Sus scrofa: one gene and its partner. The protein of the gene in region 2 purifies or fractionates together with the protein of the main gene of each other region. This does not show direct contact. Links are inferred from orthologs where the notes say so. Each region holds a gene or a part of one and is shown on either strand. Other genes may lie near its edges.

Region 1 (3,746 bases), on a different chromosome or scaffold from region 2:
AAATCCTCCCCCAACAAATTTATTGATACTTAGTAAAGTGGAACCAGATAAAATTGAAATCTGTAAGAATTAACCTAGTTGACAGGGCTCTAGAGCTAGTCCATTTCTATCAGTCATTTGTTCACAGTAGGGACTAAGGACTTGTTGAATTGCGGGCTAGGCGCCCGTTCTAACACGAGTTCAGTCTTTGGGATTGGGTTAACAGGAGGCTCGGCCCGGTACTTCACTTCCAGATTCAAGCCGGTAGGGATGCGGAATCTACGATTCAGACCGTGGAGGTAATGTGCGGCTCGGCTAGGAGCCAAGTCCTGCAGAGAGCTTGGGGCCCAGACCGCAAAGACGGCGAAAGCACGATCGCGCCGGGGTCCCTCGACTTGCATAGGGGCAGCAGCAGCGCCCGGCAGCGCCGGGAGCGGGCGGGCCCCGACCTCAGCACTGCGGTTGGCCCGGTCCCGAACTTCCGCCCTCCTGGGACCTGTGCCGCTCGGCCTCGTAGGGCCGGGGTCCGGGTGCCGCCTCCCACGGGCAGCAAGCGGCCAGTCCAGCGTCCGCTCTCTTGGCACTGGACGAGTGAGAGCCGGGGGGCTTCGGGATCCCGATAGTGGAGAATTTCGGGGTCGCCCTCCCCCAGCCCATCCCGGCCCGCGGGTGCCCTGGCCGCCCCATCTCGGCCGACAGCGCCTTGGCGGATCTGTCCTGCGGTCCCGCGCGGCCCGGCAGCCGCCGGCCTCTAACCCCCGGGAGCGCCCGAAGAGCTCGCAAGCGCCCCGCCCCAGCCCGAGGCGGGCGGCTCGGCGGAGCGGGGACTACTTTCCGCCGCCCGCCCGCGCCCCGCCCCTTGTCCTCGCGCGGCGGAACGCTCCGCGCTGCGCCGCTGGCGGCAGGATACAGCGGATTCTGCGCGACTTATAAGAGCTCCTTGTGCGGCGCCATTTTAAGCCTCTCGGTCTGTGGCAGCCGCGTTAACCCGGCTCCGGGAGCTGAGAGCGAGGGGAGGCGGAGACGGAGGAAGGTCCGAGGAGCAGCTCCGGTCTCCGCCGAGCCGCCACCGCAGGCCGAGGACGGTCGGACTCCCGCGGCGGGAGGAGCCTGTTCCCCTGAGGTGCTTGGGTGCTCCTTTCCTTACCCTTCCGGGGCTGCTCCCGCTCCTCTTCGGAGCCAAACTTCGTCGCGGGCGCGCGGTCCCGGCGGCGGCTGGAAGCCGGGCCCGGTGCAGCCCGGAGGGCCGGGGTGGGGAGCTGGGGGCTGACTGGGGGCGCCGGGGAGGCGGCGGGGGCGGGCCCGGCCCGAGGGGCGGAGGGCGGCGGCCGGGCCCGGGTTCCGGTCGCGCGGCTCTTTGGGGGCCCCGGGTTTGCCGCTTGCGGGGAGGGGGCGCCGCGAGGGCGCGTTCGGGAGCTCCGTTGTCTGGCGGGGGATAGTAGGGGGGTCTGTGGTTTCCGTCCCGGGCTCCGGCCGCGGCCGAGTTTGGGGGAGGGACCCTGCGCCTCTGGATGCGCCGGGGCCGGGGTGGGGGGCGGGGTGGGGACGGGGGACTCCGCCTTCCGGGCCTTCAAGGGGAGTTGGGGTACAGGCGCTGGGCCTGGGACCCGAGGTCCCATCTGCCATGAGGAGAGGACCAGTAGACTTTCTCTTCAGAGTCCCTCTTTCGTGCTTAAGGACGAATTAAGAGAATCGTTAGTATTATTTTAATGCTCTGCTGGTGTGTTTGGTTTTGGCTCCTGTTTAAATCGGAGCAACTTTAAACCGTAGAGGATCCAAACTATTATTGCAGACGGAGCGATGCTCCAGGAGGAGTTGCACAAATAAAATCCATATCTAGCACCTTTATTTTCTTGTACGGTGCAGGTGAGTGAAAGCAGTGTGCAAGGAAGGTCCTGGGAAAAATAAGGGCGAGGGCGACTGGCTTACTGTCTCTTACCAAGTGACCCGCCGGACTCAGCCTCTGACTGCTTCGAGAATTTTGTTCGTGGAAATTCTTTATTTAGATAATTTCATGCCAGCTAAACTTGATTTTGAGAGCACTTTCCAGCGAGATGAATTTTTCCCTCGCTACGAAATTGCCCGAAGGAAATTCAAGCGTTGCAACTTCGTTCCGTGTTTTGTCTGGGGCGAGGACTTGGAATGCAGTTTCGAAGTTCAGTTCTCAAAGCCCGCTACTGGATCCGCTAAACTTGAAAGCTTTGGCAGTTGGGTGTAGTTGATTCCTTCGTTTTCAGTTCCCTGTTGGAGGGAGCATTGTCTCCTACTTTGTATCTTCCAGACATCTGTGGTCTCCCCTCCCCCCCGAGTTTGTGAGTGGTGAATGAGGAGACTGGCCTGCTGGTATGCAGAGGTCCGCAAAAGGAAATCGAGGAGTGGTTTTAGTGAAACGAGAGCTTTGTGTCGTGAATAGTGGTGGCTTAGACTAGACAGCAACTTGAAGCGACGGCTAGCCTTTGATAAAGTCTGGACTGATGTTTTTCAGATCGCTGAGTTATAAAGTATTTTGTCTGGAACTTAGGAAGCCATTTCGTTATTGTCCCTTGGTGTGCATTCAGTACCTTCAGCTATCTTCACCTTAACTTGTCTTCAGAAATGTTGGACATAGCTTGAAATATTATTTACCATAATGCTACTGTTTAGTATCTGCTTAAATCAGTGACAAAAACATACTTTGGAGGGTTTTTTGTGGGTTTTTTTTTTTTTTTTTTTTTTTTTGTCTGAACTAAGGCGATGGCTGCATTTATTTTACTTTTACATTTAAACCCACAAAATCTCTGGGTTAAAAAAAAAAGTGCCATTAACGTTTGAGAATATCCTTGCACAAAATTTGATTAATTTGCACCCAATATTCATTACTTTGACCTAGTCTTTGTTCTAAAGGCCATGTACAAGGCCCTAAAGTGATTGCAACAGTAACTCGAAAAACTTGCAGAAGACTCTTCTATAGGATTAAAGGAATGCTGAGACTATTCAAGTCTAAGGTCCTTGAGGGGGAAATAAAAAAACTAAACTAGAAAGTTTAGTATAGCATGTAGCTTAGAGCCCTTGTGGAGTTCTAGGCTTAGATTTTTCCATAGGCTAGAATAATCATTTAAGATAGCTTTCAGGAAAAACCAATTTTTAAAAATAAAGTGGCAAAAAAAAGGACAAAAAAGAAACATTTAGCAGTGTTCAAGTGTCAATAGGTATTCAAGAGTTTTCTTTTGAAACGTTATCCGACTACTTCCTCTACCAAGATAATTATGTAGAAAAGTATGGATCCCAGTATTAAAACATAAGCTGAATTGAACTTCCTACTGTTGCCAGTGATGACTGGAATAAAAATTATCCATGTAAGTGAAGTAGTGTATTTTTGTTTTCATAGATACTTCCCTCCTCCACCCCCCCCCATAGGAAGGAAAACATGAATTAGGCATATTTCTCTAAGGGTATTTTGAGATTTGGTCTTTCAGGAAAACTATCTGCAAATACTGTTTTTTTTTATTGGGAGGGGTGAAAAGAGGAGCAGAAGTATTATTAAAACTGGGGATGTGGAGAATTCAAAAGTTTGATTCTCTGTCATTAAAAGTAGCAGTGAGATTAAAACCCTAGATATGGACTATATAAGTATCTTCAGCCAGTGAAACTTGTGTTATTGAAATAATACATCTATCCAGTTACAATAGGATTTTGTTTCTCTCTTCATGATTTACTAGTTACTGATAATAATTGTAGAGGAGTAGGTGGTAAATTTTAAGTTTGTACTTTGAGCTAGGGTGGAAGCA
Region 2 (3,746 bases):
TTCATAGCTAAGGCCATAAAAAAGCTGATCAGACAGCACTATGACTTCAAGTGCCATTTTAAAAAATGAGTATTTTTTTCAGGCCCGCCTCTGGCATGTGGAAATTCCCAACCTGGGATTGAACCTGTGCCACAGCAGCAACCGGAGGAACTGCAGTGACAACGCAGGATCCTTAACCAACTGTGGCCACCTGGGAGCTCCTAAACTGCCATTTTTAATATCGGTTGTTTTAAGATTATCTTAAAGCTTGTCCTAGTGTTTAGAAGTTTTTAACTCCATCAGGTTAACCTCCCCATACACACCGGGCACAAATTCTCCTTTGAATTACTCAGTTAAGAAAGGAAAAATTCGTTCAACTGTGAATCACTAATCATCAAATCCATACCACCTGGTATCAGGGAGTCAACTTTTTGTGATTCAGAAGCAAGGTAATCATGTTCATTGGATTAAGGTGGTTAGCCACTGGCTACACTCGCTGAAATGCAGATTACCCGGTCCCATCCCTAGGCGGACCGAATCGCTGAGAAGTAGGGCTCAGGTCTGCATTTTGAAACGCTCCCCAGAAATTCTGAACCTGTTCCTGCAACCTACCAAAGCATCAGTCGTTTTTTTTCCCACAAAAGTCTGGGTAAAGGCTCAATCGGGCCGAAGGGGGAATTCTAAATAAAACATTCCAATGATCGCTGCAACCTACACCACCCAGCGAGCAGAGAGCGGCGAAACAGATGAGCACGCTCGGGGCGCCTCAATGGTTTCTGAAAACGTGACGGGCCCTTTCTTCGGAAAGGACTCGGGGTTCTGGCCCAAGGACACAGGGCTGACTTACTCATCCCTAACTGTGCAAAGCACCGTGCTCTCTGACCCCTCCATAGCATTTCCTAGGGCCACTCGCGGTGCTTCCAGCCCAGTCTCTCGTGCGGTCTCCACCCGGCGAGTGCTGGACGAGGACAGGAGGGCCACAAGCGACGGTCACAAACCCGGCGGCCTGAGCCCGCGCGTGCGCAGTCAGGCGCTGAGCTCGCGGCAAAGTCTGTTTCCTGACTTTTGGAGGAAGGGGCGTTGCGTCACTTCCGGCCTCCCTCTAGCTGCCATCTTGCGTCCCCGCGTGTGTGCGCCTTATCTCAGCTGGTCTGCCCGAGACCTCCTGAGCGCCAACCCTAGTCCCCCGCGCGACCCCATTTCCACTCCAACAAGGTACAAAAAGGCTCTGGACGCCGGCGTGGGAGGAGGACGGGAACGGGGGCGGGAAGTGCCCGGAAGGAGCGAGACAGGGAGGGACAGGGCTGAGGAGAGGAAGGCGATGCGACGGACAGGCGCACCCACTCAGGCTGACTCTCGGGGTCGAGGTCGGGCCAGGGGCGGCTGCCCTGGGGGCGAGGCGACGCCGTCTCTTCCTCCACCTCGCGGCGGAACCCGAGGACAGGAGCCTCAGGTACCGCGAGGCTTGCGGAGAGTGGCCGGGCTGGGCAGGCCCTGGCTAGGCCGAGGCCGGGCCGGGGCCGGGGTGGGGGTGGGGGTTGGGGCGCTGACCAGGCGTGGGTTACAGCCCTTTTTCTGGGCCAGCAAAGAGGGGAGGAGTTGTGGGGGAGGGATAGGAAAGCGGGTGCGCTTTGGGCTCCCTCGAACCGGAAATTTGGGAGCTTGGCGGGTGGGTTTGGGATCCAGGCCTCGGCCTGTGTAGGACATTTATTCTGCTGGTGCCTTGGGAAATAACGAGCATGGAAGGCTAGAATGCACTAGACCTTTTCCTCGCTGAGGGTTTCCTGTTTTTCTAGATGAAAGAAACTATCATGAACCAGGAGAAACTCGCCAAACTGCAGGCACAAGTGCGCATTGGTGGGAAAGTAAGTTTTCATAGTGTGGGGAGAGGTTGTTTGTGGTTGTTTCTTTAGGATTTTTTTCCTCTTTTGCGTTTCTAATATAATTGGCTTGTCACTTTGTCTCTAGAGGGCATTTCACAGCTAGCAAATCAAGTGAAGGGAGTGGCAGGATTAGATTAGATATACAATGTAGTGTATCCTTGAGAGGCACAGGTTGTAAATTAGAAGAAAAAAATGCAAGCGAATAGAGATGAAGAGAGCACTTAAACAGCAGCCTTTGTTTTTATGTAGGTTTTTTTTTTTTCAGTGTTACAGTGTTTTAGGTAGAACAAAAGGTCTGATTTAATAAGAAAGAAAATGTGTCATTTCAGTTAGATCATCATTGTGGCCAGTTATACCCTTGACTTGTTTTGTCATTGGCTTTATAGCCTAAGTTATATATAGCTAGTGCTTGATTTTTTTTTTTTAGTAACTATGCTAACTGAATTTAAGTATCACCTATCTTTTCAACTTTAGTGTATGGTTCTGGATAACTACTTAATAGTTGAAAGTTCACGTCTCTTGTAAATTAAGGCCTTTCTGTGGTCCTTTCTTAGCTAAATGTAACCTAGAGTAGTTGTATATTTTCCAGGATATTTGAAAATGTCATTTTTATAGGTACATTTTGTGATATAAGAGCGATGACTGTGGATTTGGAAATACTGCCTAAGCAGATATATTTCTATTTTAACTTTGTAATTACACTAAAACTGAAGGAATGAGAATGGTGGGTTTTTAATCGCTCAGATTTTAGTTAATTGATTTTTCCTGGTGGCTACTGTCCCCTTCAGGGGGTTTATTTTTTGAACATGGTAAGTTTTCAGGTTTTCTAATTTACTTAAAAGTTCACTTAAGACAGAAGTCTACCTAGTTGTATTTCACATTGTGTTAGCACATTCCTAGTATTTAACAAGGTGTGGTAGCCTGTTGGAACAGAGCATGTCTTTACCTGATAAAACTTGTAATGTTTTCATACTAAAAAATTTATTATCTATTAGTTTTTCCCAGCTGTAGACATTTACCTTCAAATAGAGTCCACTGTGAAATAGCCAGAAGTTGCACTTAGACTTAAGTAATAAGTTGTACCTCTGTTAATTACAGGATTTTCCAGCAGTGAAAGTATTGGACCCCCCCTTTTTTTCCCCCTCACTGAAGCTGGTCTTTAATATCAGCACCTACCCATTAACAACAGTAGGTGTTTCTTGTTCTATTTAGCAATTATTATAAATTAGATGTGGCCTTTGAGTGCCAGGAGAACTCATATTCTTTGTGGGTTAGTGTTTGCATGCTCTTATACTGGTATTTTTAACCATCATTCCTTTCAGTGCAGATTTTAGAAGGAGTCATTTGACTAATAGGCTTGTGTGCCTTCTTTTTTCGTTACTCTGATCTTTAGTCTTGTGAGAGACATTCTAGGGTAAAGGAAAGTCCAGATTTTCTGGGATTCTTAAGACCGATGTAGGCTTAAACTTTAATTGTTTAGTTAGTATAAGAAGTATTTCTGGAGTTCCCGTCGTGGCTCAGTGGTTAACAAATCCGACTAGGAACCATGAGGTTGCAGGTTCAATCCCTGGCCTTGCTCAGTGGGTTAAGGATCTGGCATTGCCATGAGCTGTGGTGTAGATGGGGCTTGGATCCTGCGTTGCTGTGGCTCTGGCGTAGGCTGGTGGCTGCAGCTGCTATTAGACCCCTAGCCTGGGAACCTCCATATGCCGCAGGAGCACCCCTAGAAAAGACAAAAAAGTGTTTCTGTCATCATTGTAATATGGAAACATTTTCCTCACCTTTTAAGAAAGCTACATATTGTGGAATGTGTGATTTGATGAGTTAGTGTTGCCTTAGAGATTTGTAGGTATTAGTTACTTTTTAGGTAAATACCATGAAAGC

Evidence for each region. The genes of interacting proteins can lie anywhere in the genome.
Region 1: the proteins of BTF3 (region 2) and CTNNB1 purify together in Homo sapiens (affinity purification with mass spectrometry; 3 studies listed by BioGRID). This does not show direct contact. The link is inferred for Sus scrofa from reciprocal best matches to the Homo sapiens genes BTF3 and CTNNB1.

Annotation. Positions count from the first base shown.
Region 1 is NC_010455.5:25,163,341-25,167,086, forward strand, and holds the start of CTNNB1 (catenin beta-1), read left to right. Parts: upstream 1-954; 5' UTR 955-1,102; intron 1,103-1,126; coding exon of another isoform or gene 1,127-1,547; intron 1,548-3,746. Other genes in the region: basic proline-rich protein-like, read right to left, coding at 1,127-1,547. UniProt on the Homo sapiens protein: Key downstream component of the canonical Wnt signaling pathway.
Region 2 is NC_010444.4:82,659,412-82,663,157, forward strand, and holds the start of BTF3 (transcription factor BTF3), read left to right. Parts: upstream 1-1,079; 5' UTR 1,080-1,194; exon of another isoform or gene 1,195-1,300; coding exon of another isoform or gene 1,301-1,432; intron 1,433-1,775; coding exon 1,776-1,844; intron 1,845-3,746. UniProt on the Homo sapiens protein: When associated with NACA, prevents inappropriate targeting of non-secretory polypeptides to the endoplasmic reticulum (ER).